Linked DNA regions of Saccharomyces cerevisiae S288C. The gene in region 3 interacts genetically with the main gene of each other region. Each region holds a gene or a part of one and is shown on either strand. Other genes may lie near its edges. The genes, in order: HFM1, PEX18, SPO22 and MDL1.

Region 1 (6,680 bases), on a different chromosome or scaffold from region 3:
CATCGCAAATTAATTTGAATCTCTTCATGGCAGAACAAACCTCTTTTATAATATCTCTGGGAATAGGGCATTTTGCGTTCGTATGTGTATTATATTGAACTTCGTATAGAGAAAGACCAACCCTATCTTTAAAAACACAAGGCATAATTCTTGCATGATGTGCAGCCTTGGAAGATATACTAAAACGAATACCATTAGAACCTATGTCGACGATTCCACACAAGTTTCTCGACACGACCTCAGTCTCGGTATCACTATCGCTAAGTGTTGACATTTGTGGCACGCCTACACTTTTCGTTCAAAACAATCCTTAGTAAAGGACACTTCCAAGAGTGAGTTTCTTTTTTAAAAGGTACATATGAATGAATTACTAATCTCACTTCGATTCTTTCAATTGATCTAGGAACTCCGCCGGCAAAGTTATCCTATCTCGGCATTCTGACCCGGATCGCTTATCGCGGTCATGTGACTAATAATTGAAATGATAAATAGCACGATATGTAACAATAGTAATATATCAATTGACAATGTCATCTTGTTCCCTAATAAATAGTAAAGGTTCCAATTGTTTCACCACTGGCTGCATTTTAAAAACAAAGCATTATAAGTAAACTCTCACACATGCTAACTTCTGTTGGGAAGCAATACAAATAACAGAAAGGATTGGGGTAATGAATATCAGTAATGTCTATTGTTCCCGGCCATGCCGCTCATTCAAACTCTATATCGGAACCCAAGAAATCCAGATCACCATTCGGATCACTTATTGAGCTCGCCGCTGTATTACTAGAATAACTATCGGATGATTCAAGATCAATAGGAATTATTTCAGGGCAGTTTTCGGGGCCTGATTTTAGGACTTGTTCACCCGCTTCCATAGACGACATCTGTTGCGATAGATTATAAATTTTTGAAGGAAGTGTATGAACTGTCGCAATATCTGTATTTTCTTCTTGCCACTGCTTTGGTTTACTATTCAGTCTTTTTTCCAGGTGAGGGGTTGTGTTGATATTTTTTGCAAGCAGTGGCTGGCGTATTTGATCAGGTTTTGATACTGGCTTGATTGAGGAGGGTCCTTTTTCTTTTATATACTTTACTGGAATACCCTCTTTACAACATAAATGTCTGCATTGCGTTTTGTCTTTGCAGCTATGAAAACACTCGTAATTGCCATTAGATCTTACTTGGCGGCCATTACTAAAATGTGAAGAAGAGTGTGCCTCCGGGTGAATAACTGCTGCAGATTCAACCGCCTTTGATGATTTCTTCCTTTCATTCAAATAATCTAGTATACTATCATCTGAGGATAGCGATTCTTCTAATCCATCTTTATGGGAAACCCTAGACGTTTTCCCCACTTCTCCGTCACTACTGCTTTCATAGAAGAGGCATTTTTCTAAACTATTTAGATCTTTCCTTATATTTGGTGTCTTCGCAGAGAACTGTGATGCCAAATGATCAGTGGAATATACGATTGTTTTGCCGAGTCCGGCGATTTCTTGGCAATGAATTGAGAATTCTATTTTTTCTAGTTTTGGTGATATTTTTGCTGAAATTCTAAAGCCCCTTGGTGACTGTAGTTTGTTAACTTGCAATCTTCTAAAGTCGATTAACTCTCCTGAGCTTTTCTCGGTTTCGATATCTAATGAGAGGTGCTGACCATGCCAAATGCTAGACTTGAATGTTGCACTAATCTCAACTTTAAATGTCAACCACAACTCTTCATTTTCTATTTTGCAATTTTCTAGTTTTGTTCTAATATTCAGACAAGGCAACAAAGAAATGTCGTTTTTAATTTTTATGCCGTTTCCAATCTTGAGGTTAAGATAGTATTCAATCTGAGTATCTGACAAATGCCCCATTTCTTCTAGATTGGTAATTCCATGTCGTATTAGCCTTCTTACTGAAACTAGTCCAATTGTTTTCAATTGCCTAAGAACCATTGGCGTGTTTTCCCAGCAGTGACCATTCAGGCTTCGCAGTAAGAACAAAGTATTTTTCAGTGATGTTCCATCACTTTTTTCAATAAATGTGTCTACCATGCATTTTAGTAATCTAAAACAATGTCTAAAAACGAGGAATTTATCCTGAACAAGAGTTTGATGTAGTTTAGAAGCGCCTTCGTATGATGGAAATTCTAACCCACCTAACTCATATTGAATCAAAAGAGAAACCTTTTGACTAACCCTGTCAATTATTTGGCTCTGTTTCTTCTCGGTTAAAAATGGATATTTCAAAAGTGGCGATAAATTGATTTCTTTGAACAATTTTTTTTCATTGTGCCTCACCCTCATAACTGAAAACTCTTCAGAAGTGGCCAGTAAATTTAGTATCCCTTGTAATGATAGAAATTTTTTTGCGTTAATGAATTGTTTCATCGACTCAAAGGATATATAATGTCGCGTCATTGCATTTCCGTACGCTGTAGATTTGTACTCCCCATTGCTGATATCGATTATTTTCACTTTTACTAAGGTGTCAAGCAAATACTGACAGAATTGATTTATCTGAGAGTCTTCAACGGAATGAAAACTAACGTATCTGTTCACCTCTTGATATGCAGCTGGATTCTTCCCAAATCTAACGTAAAAGAATGTGTTTCGTAGCCAATTTACTGCAGTTTCAATTGAATATACAGTTTCCAAAGAGGTTTCTGCTGCTAAATGCTCGATCAAATTCAAATGTAATGAACTTTCCAAAACGTCAGTTCCATGAATTAAGTTTTCATATGTTTGCTTCATTTTAGAGTCTGTCATGATTACTGCGCACCCGTGAGTTTCAAATTGAGGTCTTCCTGCCCGCCCAATCATTTGCAGTACATCTAGGTCTGAATACTCTTGGATTTCAGAAGAGTTCCAACTTTTGGTGCCTTTGATAATGACCAAATATGCGGGAAGGTTCACACCAACAGCTAACGTTGAAGTTGAACACAATATATTAATTGAACCTGCAAGAAATTCTTTCTCAACGGCAGTACGGTCTTCTAAAGAAATTCCAGCATGATGGAAAGCGATACCTTGTTGCATACATTCATTTAATATTTTATCGGAGGGATTATGATTACATCTTTTCTTACTTTTTGAAAAAATATGATTATTTAATAAAAATTTTGCTGTTGATATAGTTGAAGCCCTAGTCGGACAAAATATTAGTACGGGACGATTATCGGCATGCTTTTCAATTATTTCAATCAATTTGGAATTATATATAGCATCTTTTTGGAAGTCATTTTTGCAATTGAAGGAGTACCCATAAACAAACTTCGTTAACTGAACTTGCCTGTACGATTCGTCAAAAGAAAGAATATTTGCAGGAAGCTCGTTGTTAGTTTTGAGCCACAATGCTAGGTCTTCTATATTTGGAACTGTTGCACTTAAAGCAACAAACCGAATGTTTTGACACATTGTATTCATCCTTGTCAGAATTACTTCCAAAGATGCTCCTCTTTTCTCCTTTATGGTATGAATCTCATCAACTAGGACAAGTTTGACCAATTCGAATAATCGGCTGTAATCGGACCATCTTCTTGTTAACAAATCCCATTTTTCTGGTGTCGTAATTATTATGTTACATTTTTTAGCCTTTTCAGTTTCCAGAAAAGAGGTATCACTAGTAAGCATACCAACAGAAAGATTCACAAAGGAAGGAAACCAGTTCTTGTACATCTCGTAACATAGAGATTTGGTTGGCGCGATGTATATAATTTTGGTGTTATTGGTATCACTATTTGTTTCCTTTATAAGACGTAATATTGCCAATTCAAATAATACAGTCTTGCCTGATCCGGTTGGTGAAGAAATTATGCAGTTCTCGTTACTCTCATAAATACTAGGAAAAGCCTCTGATTGCATTTTATTAAATTCTGTAAATTTAAAAACCCCTCTGAATGAATCTGGTAATATGGTCGTGCTCAAACATTTCTTCGCTGATTTCCTTATCGTGACCTTCTTAGGTTTCTTCGCCTCTTCATCAGGTGTCTGCTCTAAATCGTGATCAAATAATTTACTAGTTACTTGTGTATCATCTGCTGTTATTGAAAAATTATCGTCTTTGTCGAAGAATTGCAGACCACGGCCCTCAAATATTTCCTCTGTTTCATTTTCATCATCACAATCATCCAGTAAACTGTTATAAGACAAACCTACTTTAAAACTTGGTTGGCGGCTATTTTTCTTATTTCTTTTAAATGTAGCAGACTGGTCGTTAAAGTCAATATCTATAAGTCCTCTGAAATTCTAGTCCAGAAAAACCACTTTTGGTTGCATTTCCGCTAGATAATAAAAGAAAGAGGTAACAATGTTAGTCAAAATACTGTTGTTGTCCGATATGGTGTAAACTGATAAGGGTGTTGCTAAGCTTCGTTACTACTATTTGGAGAGGGTCTACTTCTTTTTCCTGTACCGAGGCGATCAAACTTTGTTTTCATCCTTACGACGCCTCTTAAGTTGTCAAATCCACCTTGAGGTATCAATCATTTTCAATGAAAGGATTTCTTGATAGATGATACTAATAGTCCCGTTTTGTTTATAATCCGGGGCAAAGTCTAAATACCCGCCGAGCCTGCATCCATTCGTGGTACATGATATGTTAAAACTACAACAAGGCATAAAAAAGGGAAGTATATATGATTAATTATATATACGTAAAGGAAAAGATACGTAGTTAAAGATTGTTTTTGTTGGTATCAATGGAATCAAAGATGAGTGAAGAAGAAGCGCATAAAACAGTGGAGGTGGATGACGTCGGGGTTCAATTGGATGAGGGCGATGAAGAAGACCTTTTGGAGTATGATGATGAACTCGTGGAGGAACAACCATCGGACGCCCGTATACGCAACGTGGCAGAGACTTTAATGAAAAGCGAATTGCCCAAAGTCACCGTGGAATATAAAGATACTACATTTCTGTTGTTCACGTCGGATGATAAGAACGAAAGTAACAACCCCATAATATGTGAAAACGCTGCTCTTTATCAGCGACCCATGGGGGAATTCATGGAATCCATTCGTAAATTTATGGGAAATCGTTTTGGCAGGTTGGCTTTTGCTACGAAGGAGTTGGTTTTACAACTGAAAAGCCTCGATTTGACCTTGTTCGAAGATAATGTCTACAACAACCATATTTCATTCAGCGATGTTTATACTATATTTAAAATCCTGAAGGAAAGATCGGAGTCTAATTTTGAAACTGATATACCGACGCACTTGGCTATTGAATTAAGTACAAGGCCAAGATTTGTCTCTCGGTACAACGCCTTGGTTGAATTAACTGAAAGCTCAGCTACGTTGAAAAACATAAAGCCATTTTCTAACGATGAAACGCATCCCTTAATTGTGGATGACAATGACCAATATACACACCAGAATACTTCAGAAGTCATTGTAATGGACATAGATGATGACGTAGGTGAGGATTCTGAAGACTAAAGTAGCCATGTTTAATCAGCACTGATCGTGGGAAATCCTGATGTCCAACGGTGAGTTTCTGATTTCCCAGTCACGGATTCCTTTTGAGAATCTTCTCCCGCGAATAAATTATTGGCTCTGTGTAATATTTAAGGTCGCCTTCTTTTTCGTTTGTATAGTCAGCAGTTAAGTATTCATTAATTTTGGATGATGCAAAGGTCCATATTCGATTTCTGATAGCCCTTCCCCCTTTTTTGTAGCGAATTGTATTATTGTTTTGTATTGTTTTTTCGTCATTTTCTTCAATTTTTTTCAAGTTTTACTTTCGGAAGAATTGCTGAAAGTATTTTCTGTTAGGATATGTAAAATACAAGCATAAAATATGTTTCAGGAGAAGAAAATCACTCAATAGTGCCACACCATTGTTAACGAGCTCGAGTAATTGAATCAATTTAGAGAAATAGATCATATTACAAAAATACTATGATTATTGAACGTTGGGAAGTAAAGTTATCTAAATGTAACCAAAATGTGGGCGGCTATTCTGTTCTGTCAGGAAACTTAAAAGAAAACATCAAACTGGGAAGACGAGCACAAAAATATTTGAAAGAGCTAAGAAATTTGCAACTTAAACCACTGAAAATCGGAGGGTATGAAAACTGCGGCACGATCAATGGTGAAGAGTATTTTTTGGAGGTAATTCACATCACCTCTGGAAGACAAAAAATAGATGTAGCCGTTGGCAAAACATGGAATGTGACTAACATTGAGAATGACAACAAAGAAGAACTACAGTATGAGTTATTCAAGGAAAAGTTAAAAGTCGGGAAACAGGACATGTTATTTTTTAGCTGGATGAAAAGTCTTTCAGTTCAATTAAATGCTCCTCTTCACCAAAAAATGACGGAACACGGTTTGGCAGACGATAACACGAGGTTAGAGTGGTTCAACATCCCACTTCTCAGAAGAAGTCAATACAGGAAAAAGGTACCATATCCGAGTTTAAGACAAATGTCCTCTGTACTGGAAGTGCAATGCAGCACACTAACGGAGGAAAAGTTGAACTTCTGCGTTGGATTTTCTGATAAACCTTTGTCAGAATGGAAGCCCCAAATTTTTGAGCAAACCTACAATAGATACCGTTTACAACGGATCTCACCTGAGAAATCTTTCAAATATAAGAGTAGGTGCAGTAAGTACAATTTCAAGACCAGTTCGCAAAGCTGGGTTGTGAAAGTCCCAGAACATGATCAACAGCTTAATACGTTTGAAAAAC
Region 2 (3,771 bases), on a different chromosome or scaffold from region 3:
ATGGCAGTGCGTCTGGAGACATGAGGGCACTTGATAGATACGATAATTATCTGAAGGTGAGATGCAGGGAGTTTGGTAAAATCAAAAAGGACTATGTGAGAGACGGCTATCGAACACTGAAGCTGAACAGTGGCAATTACGGAAGCTCCAGAAACAAGCAACACTCTATCAATATAGCACTAGATCATGTGGAGTCCCTAGAGGTACAAATACAAGCCCTGATTAAAAACAAGTATACACAATATGATTTGAGTAACGAATTGATCATATTTGGTTTCAAGCTGCTTATTCAAGACCTGCTAGCGCTATATAATGCTCTCAACGAAGGTATCATAACTCTGCTGGAGTCTTTTTTCGAACTATCTCATCATAATGCAGAGAGAACTCTAGACCTGTACAAGACGTTTGTTGATTTGACCGAGCACGTTGTCAGGTACTTGAAGAGCGGGAAGACTGCGGGCTTGAAAATACCCGTCATCAAGCATATCACTACCAAACTGGTCAGATCGCTAGAAGAACATCTGATAGAGGATGATAAGACGCACAACACTTTTGTGCCCGTTGACAGTTCTCAAGGAAGTGCTGGGGCCGTAGTAGCCAAATCTACTGCACAGGAAAGGTTGGAGCAAATCCGGGAACAAAAAAGGATACTAGAGGCACAATTGAAAAACGAACAAGTAGCGATTTCCCCTGCTCTAACTACTGTCACGGCGGCTCAATCTTACAACCCGTTTGGAACAGACTCTTCTATGCATACTAACATTCCAATGGCTGTGGCTAATCAAACGCAACAGATCGCAAATAACCCATTTGTATCTCAAACTCAGCCACAGGTGATGAATACACCAACCGCTCATACAGAGCCCGCAAATTTAAACGTTCCTGAATATGCAGCGGTCCAACACACAGTGAACTTCAACCCTGTACAAGATGCTGGCGTAAGTGCCCAACAAACGGGGTACTATTCGATTAACAACCATTTAACACCCACATTTACAGGTGCAGGGTTTGGAGGATACTCCGTTTCACAGGATACAACTGCCGCTTCTAATCAACAAGTCTCTCATTCACAAACTGGTTCTAACAACCCGTTCGCATTGCACAACGCCGCGACGATCGCAACAGGGAATCCTGCACACGAAAATGTCTTAAATAACCCATTTTCACGACCAAACTTTGATGAACAAAATACCAATATGCCGCTACAACAACAGATAATAAGTAACCCTTTTCAAAACCAAACGTACAATCAACAACAATTTCAACAACAAAAAATGCCTTTGAGCTCGATCAATAGCGTTATGACAACCCCTACTAGCATGCAGGGATCGATGAATATTCCTCAGCGTTTTGATAAAATGGAATTTCAGGCTCACTACACTCAGAATCATCTCCAACAACAGCAACAACAGCAACAGCAACAACAGCAACAGCAACAACAGCAACCACAACAGGGTTATTATGTGCCTGCAACTGCAGGAGCCAACCCTGTTACAAATATAACTGGGACAGTTCAACCTCAAAATTTCCCTTTCTATCCACAACAGCAACCACAACCGGAACAGTCTCAAACACAGCAACCAGTTTTAGGAAACCAATATGCTAACAACCTCAATTTAATTGATATGTAATATCTAGTATAATCAGGTATGTAAGGGAGTACTCAAGTGCATCTTTGGATAGCTATATATAGTTGTAAGGAAGAGCTATGTAATTTTTGCCATTTTGTACATATTTTGCATTTGTCCTATAGTATGTAATACTTACATCTTACTGTCTTCAATTCCTCCCGCCAACAAAAGATTTCGATAGCGCCGCACCATGGAGTTTATATTGTTATTTCCGAGACGACCTATATAAGGGAAAAGACGAAAACTGGGTATTTGATACTTGTCTAAACTTCAATGGACAAATGATATAAAATACAAACAATGAATAGTAACCGATGCCAAACGAATGAGGTGAATAAATTTATTAGTAGTACAGAAAAGGGGCCTTTTACGGGCAGGGACAATACGCTCTCTTTTAACAAAATCGGGAGCAGACTGAATTCACCACCGATTCTGAAGGATAAAATTGAGCTGAAATTTCTACAACACTCAGAAGATTTGAATCAATCACGGTCCTACGTAAATATTCGTCCTAGAACCTTAGAGGATCAAAGTTACAAATTTGAAGCGCCAAATCTAAATGACAATGAAACTTCTTGGGCCAAGGATTTTAGATATAACTTCCCTAAGAATGTTGAACCGCCCATCGAAAATCAAATCGCGAATCTTAATATAAACAACGGGCTACGGACATCTCAGACAGATTTTCCCTTAGGCTTTTATTCACAGAAAAACTTTAACATTGCTTCCTTCCCTGTGGTTGACCATCAGATATTCAAGACAACAGGTTTAGAACATCCTATCAACAGCCACATTGATTCTTTAATTAATGCTGAATTTTCGGAACTGGAAGCCAGTAGTTTGGAAGAAGATGTCCATACAGAAGAGGAAAATTCAGGTACGAGTCTGGAAGATGAAGAAACTGCCATGAAAGGTTTGGCTTCCGATATAATTGAGTTTTGCGATAATAATAGTGCCAATAAAGATGTAAAAGAAAGACTAAACAGTTCAAAGTTTATGGGGCTGATGGGCAGCATTAGTGATGGTTCTATAGTTTTAAAGAAGGATAACGGTACAGAAAGAAACCTTCAAAAACACGTAGGTTTTTGTTTTCAGAATTCAGGAAACTGGGCTGGTCTTGAGTTCCATGATGTTGAAGACAGAATTGCTTAACGGGCCTTGAAATTTCTTTAATTTAAACCATGAATTTCAGATATATAACACTTTTTAACCACTTTCAAGAGAAAACAGTATTAAATTACATACTGCGTTCACAGCTATACGTAAAAAGAGTGACAAGTGAAGAATAAACGTCATTTTGAAAAAGGAATTAGAAGTCTGTCATTTCAACTGAGTTTTTGACGGAGGAATTATCATTATCGGGTTCTCCAATAAAACTTAGCTTGTTACTACTTCTTTTACTTTTTTTTTCTCGTGTTCGATGTCCACTTTCATCTGTGAGACTATTATTCCCAGCATTGTCTTTCTGGAACTTAGTTGTCGTTTTAAATTTCCTCATGTTTAAACTAGAATCGTCGCCACTATCTTCTGCTTGCCCCCGGTTCGTAATTTTATGTGTACTTTTTTTCTGTTCATGCTGTCTATCGCTTTTATATACAGGATCACATCTGTTATCAGTAATAACATCATTATCGTTTTCTTCTTCTATACCGAGTAATCCGGCCTTGACATCGCTAACAAAGCTCCAAAGCGACCTGGAGACTGATCCTTGCGAAGGAGATTTTTGGCGAGCTCCAGGTGCTTCATTATCGTACTGTTGCGCGGACGACTCGCTATTACTAGTCGGTGTCCCTTCCTGTACCTCAGGCGTACCTGAAAGAGAGTCATCCCAATTCAGAGTTCTTTCAATTTCATGCTGAATGATTTTATCAAACTGATTAAACAGAGCTAATGGTTTGCTCCAAAGTGACTGTTTGGATGAATCTGACGAGTCGTCCCTTTGGCGCCTTTCTTGAATATCTTGCGGAGACACAGATCTTGACTGATTAGTACTTTGATGACCCATGTTCTTTGGTTTACTGACAGAACTAGGAAGGCTGCTGTTACCAGCATTTTCAGTTCGTGATTCCAAAGGTATATTCTGGTAAACCGGTGAAAAAGCCCGGTTTTTAACAGGTGTATTTAGAGAGGGATCCAAATG
Region 3 (5,961 bases):
GTCTGGCAGTACCTAAGGCCATAATTGTCACGATATCATAGTATAGCACATGCAGGCCCATAGCTTCTGCAAGAACTGATAATTGCGAACCAATGTGACCATACCCAATAATACCGAGAGTTTTTCCTCTTACTTCCCAACACCTAGCAGCGACTTTATTCCATGTACCTGTATGCAGTTCAATGGATCTATCACCTAATTGTCTTGCTAAACTAATGATCTCACCAATTACCAATTCTGCTACGGATCTTGAATTGGAGAATGGCGAATTGAAAACAGCAATACCTTTACTAGCGGCATATTTTAGGTCTACTTGATTGGTACCTATGCAAAAACAACCAATACAAACTAGATTCCTGGCATGCTGTAGTATTTTTTCAGTCAATCTAGTTTTGGATCTTATACCGATAGCGTGTACGTCTTTGATTTTTTCAATCAATTCATCCTCAGGTAGAGAAGACTTGTGGAACTCTACTTGGTAACCCTGATCCTTGAAGATTTTGATTGCAGTTGCATTGACATTTTCCAACAGTAGAATATTCATGTCACCAGTAGAAAAAGGTTTTAAAGCCTTTGGTTGCTTTGTAATGCTTACACGACGAGGTAGTGTGTTCATAAATGACTGAGTTGGTGAGGTTGAGACTGCACCAGGAGAGCCAGAAAAGTTCATGGCACGTTGGAATGAATCTTGTAAATTATCGGCAGCTGAATAAGACATGTTAGGGAGGAAATACCCGAAATCAGTGTTTGTTACTTTTTAATGTTACAATAATCTACAGCTAAAACAGACAAAGTATTTTTTAATGTAGTAGCTCGTAACCTTCTTATGTATTAAACCTGGGAGATTCCATTAGTTTTCATAACGGTGACTCGTTTCCAGCGTGAAGAATCTAGCCCACAATTAATCTGAGCGCTGTCCGGCTGACGGCCAAATTCTTCGGTGTAAAGAAAAAAATGTGGCATTTTGTGTATATTTGGCAAGAACAAGAGTGTAATATTATTGATAGTGCACGTGACATTATGAAAAACAATAGCACTTATTAACTATGCTAAAAATTTTGTAGCTACCGATTCTATCACGCTTCCTGGTACGGGTGCAGGCAAAGATTGCTAGGGAATTAAGGGTCAGCCAGTATAAACGACAGTAAATGGAATAAAAAAGGTTTATTTAGCAATACTATTGATATCGATATTTGCCGAACTTGCTAAAGACTCCCATAAAGAGTACAATTGCTCCTGCAAGCCTTCATTAACCATGTTTGCGAACCCCATTGAATGTTTACACCAAACAATTCCATTGCTTTTGTTGTCTTTGATTATGTAATTGACGCCGATATTCCAACAGTAAGTGGCTATAGTTTCTAACTCTGTTTGAAGGACACCATCTGTGTCTTGAAGACTTGATTGATTTATATTTAGGATCTTAAGAACCCTATCCAATATGCGTAGTTCGACCTCATGGTTAAGATTAATTGCATTTTCCAGTAAAATTCGCAGCCAGCTACAGAGTTCCCGTTCTTTCACTTCAGGGCCCATGTTTCTTTTTAATACTGTTTCAAGTATCTCTATGAGAACTCCTTTAGGTAAATCTTCCATATTCGACGAGATATCAATAAGTAGCGCATCCACGCGGCTATCTTGATACAATTCCGTTTTCTTCAATATGTCCAGAATCCTAGTTTGATCAGGCATCATTAAGGCACTTTCCAGATGTATAGTCAACGCCTCCAGGAAACATTCATGTAATGTATTTCTATCTTCCAATGATGACCCATCCTTAAATTCCGAGCTTTTCTTCATAACATTTATGCTATTAACCAACTCTTCTGACTTCTCATAAATATCCCAATCCTTTTGGTGTTGGTCTTGCTTTGCTTTTTCTTTGGCTATTATCAACTGCAAGATTGTGGCTTTGAACCTCCAATATGTGAAATGATACATTTTCGGGAAAGTGAAGTCTTGGACCGGAATAAGGTCAATAAATTGAATGCAATACTGGGGAAACTCGGAGATGGATTCACAGGACTGATCAACTAAGCATTTTACAGCCACATTATAGGAAAAAGAGGCAAACCACTCGATTTCGTTTACAGCCACTGATTGCTGATATATTGCTTCCTTCTCAACGTCTGGTGGTAATTGATTTAGTAACTTTACAGTTTTGAGAAACTCGACAGCCTTCTGTAAAAGTTTCTGTACTGTTGGTAAATAATTTATGAAGGTTTCTAAAGGCTCCTCTTCCGATACTTTGACAATCATCTGTAGGGTATACCTGAGAATGCTCAGTGTCTGAGAACTCGACGTAGATGATATAGTTTGCGAATTGCTTTTAGATTGTAATTTGTCAAATATCATTAAGAGCCCTTGAACAGACAAATCTGTCTTTCGTTTGCATTCTGCTACTGCTAATATAAGAGCGTCTGTACTTTTTTCATCTTCAGACGACTTTATCTTCTGGAGGCACGTAAGCGCTTCCTCTGTTTTATCATCCGCTAGAAAAGACTGCAACATCAAAAGTTGACACAGAGGAGATTGTCTATCTACTTCGTCCATATCCTGATATACTCTAACTGTGTTGGAATAGTCTTCAATTTTGTTATATACGACTTGTAGAGCCCTTTGAATTTTCCCCCGGTCGGAATAATTTTGACTGATAATATCTTTGAGTGCTAATTTGTAAAATCTAATACTAACAACGTATTTTTCCATCTTTTCTAACTTTTTTCCAGTATTCCATAATAAAGTTATTATGCAAGAGATAGCATGTTTGGTGAGGGGTTCTGAAACTATTCTTTCCATCTGTGTGCTAAAATTCTCTAAGCTTTCCGCTATCTCGGAATCATTCATTGTTTTTGATTGTGTTGTAATTAAAAACCTGGAGCAAATGGCTTTTCCTAAGAATTTACTATCATTCTTAGAATTCAGTTTATTGATTAACAAATAATCGAGACACACTATAGAGAATTTGGTGTTCATTTTTGATAAGTCATTGATAGAAGCTATGACAGCTTGAAAATTGGATATTACATCTACTGACATAATCATTCGCATGAGAATTTCCTCTATGGTTTCTGCCGGATTTACGATATTTCTCCGTTTAGTTAAATTGATAGCCAATATAAAAGGGTCCACTTTGTTTGGATATTCATTTTGCAAAAGACTTAAATAGTGATCACATTGTTCAAGTTCAGAAGCTTGTGGGTGTCCTTCAACCAAACAATTTGCCATAAAAATCAAAACTGAATACTTTAAATTACTATAATCAGTATGAGATTTTAAATTTTCCACAGGTAACTCCAAATATTTTTCCACATCCTTCAAAAAAGAAATTATATTTACGTCTACTAACTGAGTTTCAGGATTATTAATTTCTTTCAACATAACTGTGGAATTATAGATCATTCTGCATAATTCGATGAGCAAATCTGCGTCCATATATTTGGAATTATCAGTGATGTTTACTTTTGCAGTGTAAATATTTGCTGTATCCAGGTCATTTTCCGAAAGATATAATTGAAAATTTACCAAGTAAAACTCGAACGTCAGTTTTTTAAACTCAGTTTTCTCTTCATTGGAGAAACTTTCCACATTCTCATTGATTATCTGTAAGTATTTCTCTGAATGCTGCTGTGTATTAGTTATTAAATCGTCAAAACGATACTCACTAGCGCTTTTGAAAGAACTGATATAACATTTGAAGTTCCGTAGGAGGTTGGTGTTTGTCCGAAACAAAGCCTCATGGATGGAGAGAAGCTTGGTTGCGAAAATCTTACATTTGCAAAAGACTTCATTAAAATATTTGTCTGAAGCTTTTTCAGCTTTCATAGCAATAGTCAACGAATTCCATAGACTTGATGCTGCATTTTCCAATTTCAGGATAAGTTCTTCGTCTAATATAACTGTAGTGGTTCTGAATGATCTATCATATTTTTCTGCAATGGGATACAATGCGCTTATTTTATTATCTACTGTAATCAAATCGTTTTTCTCTAAATTCTTAGCCGCATAAACTTGCGATGTTATCCAAGTTGCAGTTTCTTTATATTATTAAAATAATAAAGCTGTTAGTTGCTATTGCTCGTCCAGATAAAAGTTAATAAGGGTATGTTTTGCATTTTGTTATATACCGCATAACTCGACCAAAGTTTTTCTAAAAGTGGAGTTAACGTTGTGGTCTGACATTGAAACTTGTTGATCACTTTAGAACATAGCCTTTTACTAATATTACTAGAAGTGTCATTATTCATGGAACACTCACTAAAAAGCTTCGCTCTTTTCTCTTTTTATTTATTTGCAATTAGCCGCCGAAGTTTGTATTCCGTACGAAAATGAAAATGAACCAGGTAACAAATCTGGTGAAATCACCATTAAACATATAAAAAACAGGATGAATTAGTGTGAAAATTATATAAAAGCCGCTGGTCCAAGAAGACGTGATTTACAAGACATATACAGGACCCAAAGAAATGGATTTCACTCATGATTATTTCCATTGAAAATCAGATGATTGGCCTTTCATTTTCTTCTTGAACCAACTGAATTTTGAATGATTGCCCCCCTCAATTTAAAGCGCCAGGTTATCAAAACTTTCAACACACGCTAGTCTGTTGAAAGTAAAGGGAAGATCTACGTGTGAAGTGATATATGTTTTTAACCTGGGCGGCTAAATTGTACTTTATATATAGTTGAAACAACAGAGAAAGGGCAGGATAAAGAAAGAAATTGACTGCAGTTTCCTATGATCATATTTCATTTTTGTAATTAACAATATAATATAATACACTTATAAACGGTTTAAAAACAGCTTTATCTCAGAAAAGTCAGGAATTATGTCTAATAAACAACTAGTAAAGCCAAAAACAGAGACAAAGACAGAAATAACTACTGAACAGTCTCAAAAACTGCTCCAAACAATGCTCACAATGTCTTTTGGTTGTTTAGCCTTTCTCAGGGGGTTGTTCCCTGATGATATATTTGTTGACCAACGGTTTGTACCGGAGAAAGTTGAAAAAAACTACAATAAGCAAAACACGTCTCAAAATAACTCTATCAAAATCAAGACATTAATTAGGGGCAAATCGGCTCAAGCAGATTTATTACTGGATTGGTTGGAGAAGGGAGTTTTCAAATCCATTCGTTTAAAGTGTTTAAAAGCCCTATCATTAGGTATATTTCTAGAGGATCCCACCGATCTCCTAGAAAATTACATTTTTAGTTTTGATTATGACGAAGAGAATAATGTCAATATTAATGTAAACTTGAGTGGCAATAAAAAAGGGAGCAAAAATGCCGACCCAGAGAACGAGACAATTTCTTTACTAGATTCGAGAAGGATGGTTCAACAGTTAATGAGACGATTTATCATAATTACCCAATCCCTGGAACCTTTACCCCAAAAAAAGTTCCTCACTATGAGGTTGATGTTTAATGATAACGTCGATGAAGATTATCAGCCGGAGTTGTTCAAAGACGCGACTTTTGACAAAAGAGCAACTTTAAAGGTCCCCACAAATTTAGACAACGATGCTATTGACGTCGGTACTCTGAACACGAAGCATCATAAAGTTGCTCTTTCTGTTTTGTCGGCGGCAACATCCAGTATGGAAAAAGCTGGGAACACGAACTTTATTAGAGTAGACCCCTTTGATTTAATTTTGCAACAACAAGAAGAAAATAAACTTGAAGAATCTGTTCCTACAAAACCCCAGAATTTTGTCACAAGCCAAACAACCAATGTGCTTGGAAATCTTTTAAATTCTTCGCAAGCAAGTATACAACCAACTCAATTTGTTTCAAATAACCCAGTCACGGGCATTTGTAGTTGCGAATGTGGATTGGAAGTTCCCAAAGCAGCCACCGTGTTAAAGACTTGTAAAAGTTGCCGTAAAACACTACACGGCATCTGTTATGGCAATTTTCTACATTCGTCAATTGAGAAATGCTTTACTTGCATTTTTGGAC
Region 4 (4,947 bases), on a different chromosome or scaffold from region 3:
AAGTCCGCAAAAATCTAAGATGAAGTCTCCTACATTAGCATCGACCGATGATATTAATTCCGCTTCTGCTTCCGTAAACTCACATGCTACCTCAGTAAAACAAACTGAATTATTTGTGACTGATAATTCTTCAAAAATCAATGACTCTGTGTCGGCGCAGTCCAGTGTCACTACTAACTTCAAAGATACTTTTACCACCCCAATGACATCAGGAATGCTCAACCATGAAAATTCAGAGAGAAGCTTTGGTTCAGGATTAAAACTCAAAATCACTGATTCAAATTTGGAAAATATGGAAGACGTTGAAGCGAAATCTGCTAACGAATTCTCTACGACACCAGAAGACAAACATATTCACCTCGCCAATGCAGCCGAATTATCCGCCCTTTACGACAAATATTCCACATCTCCGTTTGGTAAATCGGAGGCTAATTCAAGCCCTAAACCTCAAAAATTGGAAGTTAAAGATCGGTCAAAAAATGAAAACAGAAGCCCCTATGAGAGATACGTAGGTACATCCGCTGAAAGCAAGACATTTGAAATAGGTAACGTCAGAGAGTCGAAAAGTACGATAAATACTTCCCTTTCTTCGCCTTTGAGGGTAGAAGATAGTAGACGTTCAAAAAATGAGGACCTGGGATCTTTGAAAGAGTTTGAAGAGTTATCTCAAAAGATTAGCAATATGGGAATGGCAAATATTTCTTCAGAAGCTTTAAGTGACACAGCAGAAAACAGTTCTTTTGTTACGGACCTGAACTTGAATATCAATAACAGTTCATCGGTCAATCTCAATGAAGAACAACGTGTGCCGGATTTTGGGGAGGAAAACGTATTTGATCCAGATTATATGGAACAAAACCAAATGTTGGAAACAGAAAGTAGGTACACTACGGATGAGTTTGACTTTTCAGATAATCAGGATGCAGCATCCAGTAATTATAGCAATGGGCAAACCAACCGAACAGTAACTGAAACCCTTTCTGCCAGTGACAGAAATGACAAGATCCCACATTCTTCTTTATTTACAAACTTAAACCAGCTTACTTCGAATGGAGGAAACTATCAGGATAGGGAAGATTTCTCTGGTGATCAAATAAACAAACCTCAACAATCTCAACCACTTCATGTGAAAGGACCACAAACTTCGTCATTTGGTTACAGAAATTCTTCAGCCAATAGCTCGCAGCCTCAAGCACCATACCCGGTTGGTCGCCCGTTAGGTAAGATAAGAACGGGTCCGCTGACCGTCCAGCCTATGCAACAAGGTGGAAACTCATCAATGTATTCTTTCCAATCTTCGCAACATCGGTTTCATTCGTCGCAACAGCGCCAAAACCAATCACTTTCCTTCAGAAACAATACCTATGGAAGTGGTAACAATCAAAATACATTCCATCCATCGCCGCAACTGCAACAACAGCCTCAAAATATGAGATATTTGAATAATAAGTTACCAATAAATGATAGATCTCCAATACCGCAAACACAGCACCATGTACCAGATGGCCGTCCCAGCCTCCATATAAATACCACTAACCGCACAAATCCGCTTACTGCACAAAGTGGATTTTCTCAATTTATGCCTCCCAATAGCACATCAACCAACCCATATTCCAGCTGATTCATTTATATTTCATCTTTTCTTTTTTTTTTTTTTACAATTCAGTAGTTTTATATAACTTCCCATAAATGTATTATTTTTTTAATACGACTATAATATACCTCTATACCCTTATTTATCTCTTTACCTTTGCTTTTAAGCTAAACAAATCTTCATTAACAGGTATTATATTACTGGCGTCGCGTTTCGTTTAGGCGCATCGAGCCGAGACTTCAGAATCACAAATGCTTTGTATATATGTTACGTATTCAGTATTGCCCAACATGCAACTAGATTCAACTAAGCAGACGTGGGTACTTACATGAGAAGCAGATCATTGAAATTTTACTAAGTTAAAGAAGAGGAAGGGCTCCAATGATTGTAAGAATGATACGTCTTTGTAAAGGTCCAAAGTTGTTGCGAAGTCAATTCGCATCAGCAAGTGCACTATATTCAACCAAGTCATTGTTCAAACCTCCCATGTACCAAAAAGCGGAAATTAATTTGATTATTCCACATAGAAAGCACTTTTTGTTGCGGTCGATTCGATTACAATCAGACATTGCGCAAGGAAAGAAGTCCACCAAGCCCACTTTAAAGTTGTCCAATGCAAATTCAAAATCCTCGGGGTTTAAAGACATTAAACGGCTATTCGTCTTATCTAAACCGGAATCCAAGTACATTGGTCTTGCCCTCCTTTTAATCCTCATTTCAAGTTCAGTTAGTATGGCTGTACCTTCCGTTATCGGTAAATTATTAGACTTGGCTTCCGAAAGTGACGGCGAAGATGAAGAGGGCTCAAAAAGCAATAAGTTATATGGTTTTACGAAGAAGCAATTTTTCACAGCATTAGGAGCAGTATTTATAATTGGAGCAGTTGCTAATGCAAGCAGAATCATCATTTTAAAGGTCACCGGTGAGAGACTGGTCGCAAGATTAAGAACGAGAACAATGAAAGCTGCATTAGATCAAGATGCCACATTTTTAGATACTAATCGTGTCGGTGATTTGATCTCAAGATTATCATCTGATGCATCTATAGTGGCCAAATCGGTCACACAAAACGTCTCTGATGGAACAAGGGCAATTATTCAAGGGTTTGTCGGTTTTGGCATGATGAGCTTCCTCTCGTGGAAATTGACTTGCGTAATGATGATTTTAGCCCCTCCTTTAGGTGCTATGGCACTGATATATGGTAGGAAAATACGAAACCTATCAAGACAGTTACAAACCTCAGTAGGTGGGTTAACAAAAGTGGCAGAAGAGCAATTAAATGCTACTAGGACAATTCAAGCATATGGTGGTGAAAAAAACGAGGTTCGCCGCTATGCAAAAGAGGTTAGAAATGTATTTCATATTGGTCTGAAGGAAGCGGTTACTTCCGGTTTATTCTTCGGAAGTACTGGGCTAGTTGGCAACACTGCAATGCTGTCGTTATTATTGGTTGGAACAAGCATGATTCAAAGTGGTTCAATGACTGTCGGTGAATTATCTAGTTTCATGATGTATGCCGTGTATACCGGAAGTTCATTATTTGGTTTATCGAGCTTCTATTCAGAACTTATGAAAGGTGCTGGTGCGGCTGCCAGGGTTTTTGAATTAAATGACCGTAAGCCATTGATTCGTCCGACTATTGGAAAGGATCCTGTGTCATTAGCCCAAAAACCCATCGTTTTCAAAAACGTGTCATTCACTTATCCCACTCGGCCCAAACACCAGATTTTCAAGGATTTGAATATTACTATCAAGCCTGGTGAACACGTTTGCGCTGTCGGTCCATCAGGAAGCGGCAAATCAACAATTGCGTCTTTGTTGCTCAGGTACTACGATGTGAACTCAGGATCGATCGAATTTGGTGATGAAGACATCAGAAATTTCAACTTGAGGAAGTATCGAAGACTAATAGGATACGTGCAACAAGAACCACTACTTTTCAATGGGACTATTCTGGACAATATCCTCTACTGCATTCCGCCTGAAATTGCGGAGCAGGATGATCGTATTAGACGTGCTATTGGAAAAGCTAATTGCACAAAATTTTTGGCCAATTTTCCAGATGGATTGCAGACTATGGTTGGTGCTAGAGGCGCGCAATTGTCCGGTGGTCAAAAGCAAAGAATTGCATTAGCTAGAGCGTTTTTACTAGATCCTGCCGTCCTTATTTTAGATGAAGCAACCAGTGCCCTTGACTCTCAAAGTGAAGAAATAGTTGCCAAAAATCTTCAGAGACGTGTGGAAAGGGGGTTCACTACTATATCAATTGCACATAGGCTTTCGACGATCAAACACAGTACTAGGGTGATTGTGTTAGGAAAACATGGCTCAGTGGTTGAAACCGGTTCATTCCGAGATCTAATCGCCATTCCTAATAGTGAACTAAATGCGCTGCTTGCCGAACAGCAGGACGAGGAAGGAAAAGGGGGAGTGATAGATTTGGACAATAGTGTTGCCCGGGAAGTATAAGAAGTTGCCGCAGTATGGAATCACTTTTCTATGCCACAGTTATGGTATGTGTTGGAAGACAATTAATTATCGCATTATGTTTGCTGAATATGAAATTGTGTATTCTATAATTTAAATGATGCCCAATGTAATTTACACAAACAGTTTTTTTTTAAAGCTCCTTGTACGCCTTTATACACATTAAATTAATATTAGATGCACAACATACGGTACGTTTAGGAAACTCAAATTAAGCTTTATTTTTTTACTTTTTTATTATTGTTACTATTATTCTTATTATCAACATTATCGTTTTCATATCTTTCCTGAGTACAAATATGACTGAAACTTACAAAAAAAAAATTAATTATTTATTACTATTAATGATTAGATGTTACGCTTTTTTATAAAAGTGAGAGTGATACTCGGTTTAAATCATCGTCCACCCTTCATCCGTTGTTTCAGCAGGTGTCAGTTTGGTTGCATCTACATTTTCCTCTTTCTTGCGCGGAGTTTTCACTCTTGATAAAGTAACGCTTCTTGCATACTCAAGTTCGTTGTAAATTGCACTTATTGCAGTTTTAATCCCATCTTCTTTGGAAATTTTCTTCTTTATTAATCCAGCTCTATCCTTCATTATTTTGTTCGTCGTAGCTACTTTTAAAGCATCTGCTAATGTTTGAGCGTTAAGTTTCTTTAAAGCAATACCAACTCCAATGTCTTCTACTCTACCTGCATAAAAGAACTGATCACCAAAGAAAGGTTTTATAACAGTAGGTAAACCAGCACGTAATGAAGCTCCAGTAGTTCCAGAACCACCATGGTGAACGGCAGCATCGACTTGTGGGAACAACCAATCATGGGGAACGTTTCCGATATTTAAAATGTTTCTTGGAAGATCTACC

The links.
Region 1: of SPO22 (region 3) and HFM1, changing one suppresses a phenotype caused by changing the other (phenotypic suppression), as found in Saccharomyces cerevisiae (one study listed by BioGRID).
Region 2: mutations in SPO22 (region 3) and PEX18 together harm fitness more than expected from each alone (negative genetic interaction), as found in Saccharomyces cerevisiae (2 studies listed by BioGRID).
Region 4: mutations in SPO22 (region 3) and MDL1 together harm fitness more than expected from each alone (negative genetic interaction), as found in Saccharomyces cerevisiae (2 studies listed by BioGRID).

What each region holds. Positions count from the first base shown.
Region 1 is NC_001139.9:27,211-33,890, forward strand, and holds HFM1 (DNA helicase), read right to left. Parts: upstream 4,427-6,680; coding exon 4,369-4,426; intron 4,217-4,368; coding exon 711-4,216; downstream 1-710. Other genes in the region: RTG2 (Rtg2p), read right to left, coding at 1-274; RMR1 (Rmr1p), read left to right, coding at 4,700-5,425; ZIP2 (Zip2p), read left to right, coding at 5,888-6,680. UniProt on the Saccharomyces cerevisiae protein: DNA-dependent ATPase and 3'-5' DNA helicase. Required in the control of double strand break transition and crossover during meiosis. ATPase is slightly better stimulated by single-stranded (ss) than double-stranded (ds)DNA.
Region 2 is NC_001140.6:418,233-422,003, reverse strand, and holds PEX18 (Pex18p), read left to right. Parts: upstream 1-1,931; coding exon 1,932-2,783; downstream 2,784-3,771. Other genes in the region: YAP1801 (Yap1801p), read left to right, coding at 1-1,631; TDA11 (Tda11p), read right to left, coding at 2,941-3,771. UniProt on the Saccharomyces cerevisiae protein: Involved in peroxisome biogenesis and the import of peroxisomal matrix proteins that contain the peroxisomal targeting sequence PTS2. Required for peroxisomal targeting of PEX7 and growth on oleate.
Region 3 is NC_001141.2:221,773-227,733, forward strand, and holds SPO22 (Spo22p), read right to left. Parts: upstream 4,183-5,961; coding exon 4,128-4,182; intron 4,038-4,127; coding exon 1,165-4,037; downstream 1-1,164. Other genes in the region: phosphoglycerate dehydrogenase SER33, read right to left, coding at 1-718; HOP1 (Hop1p), read left to right, coding at 4,830-5,961. UniProt on the Saccharomyces cerevisiae protein: Involved in chromosome segregation during sporulation.
Region 4 is NC_001144.5:526,325-531,271, forward strand, and holds MDL1 (ATP-binding cassette permease MDL1), read left to right. Parts: upstream 1-1,975; coding exon 1,976-4,063; downstream 4,064-4,947. Other genes in the region: SKG3 (Skg3p), read left to right, coding at 1-1,621; ATG26 (sterol 3-beta-glucosyltransferase), read right to left, coding at 4,473-4,947. UniProt on the Saccharomyces cerevisiae protein: Mediates export of peptides with molecular masses of 2100 to 600 daltons generated upon proteolysis of mitochondrial inner membrane proteins.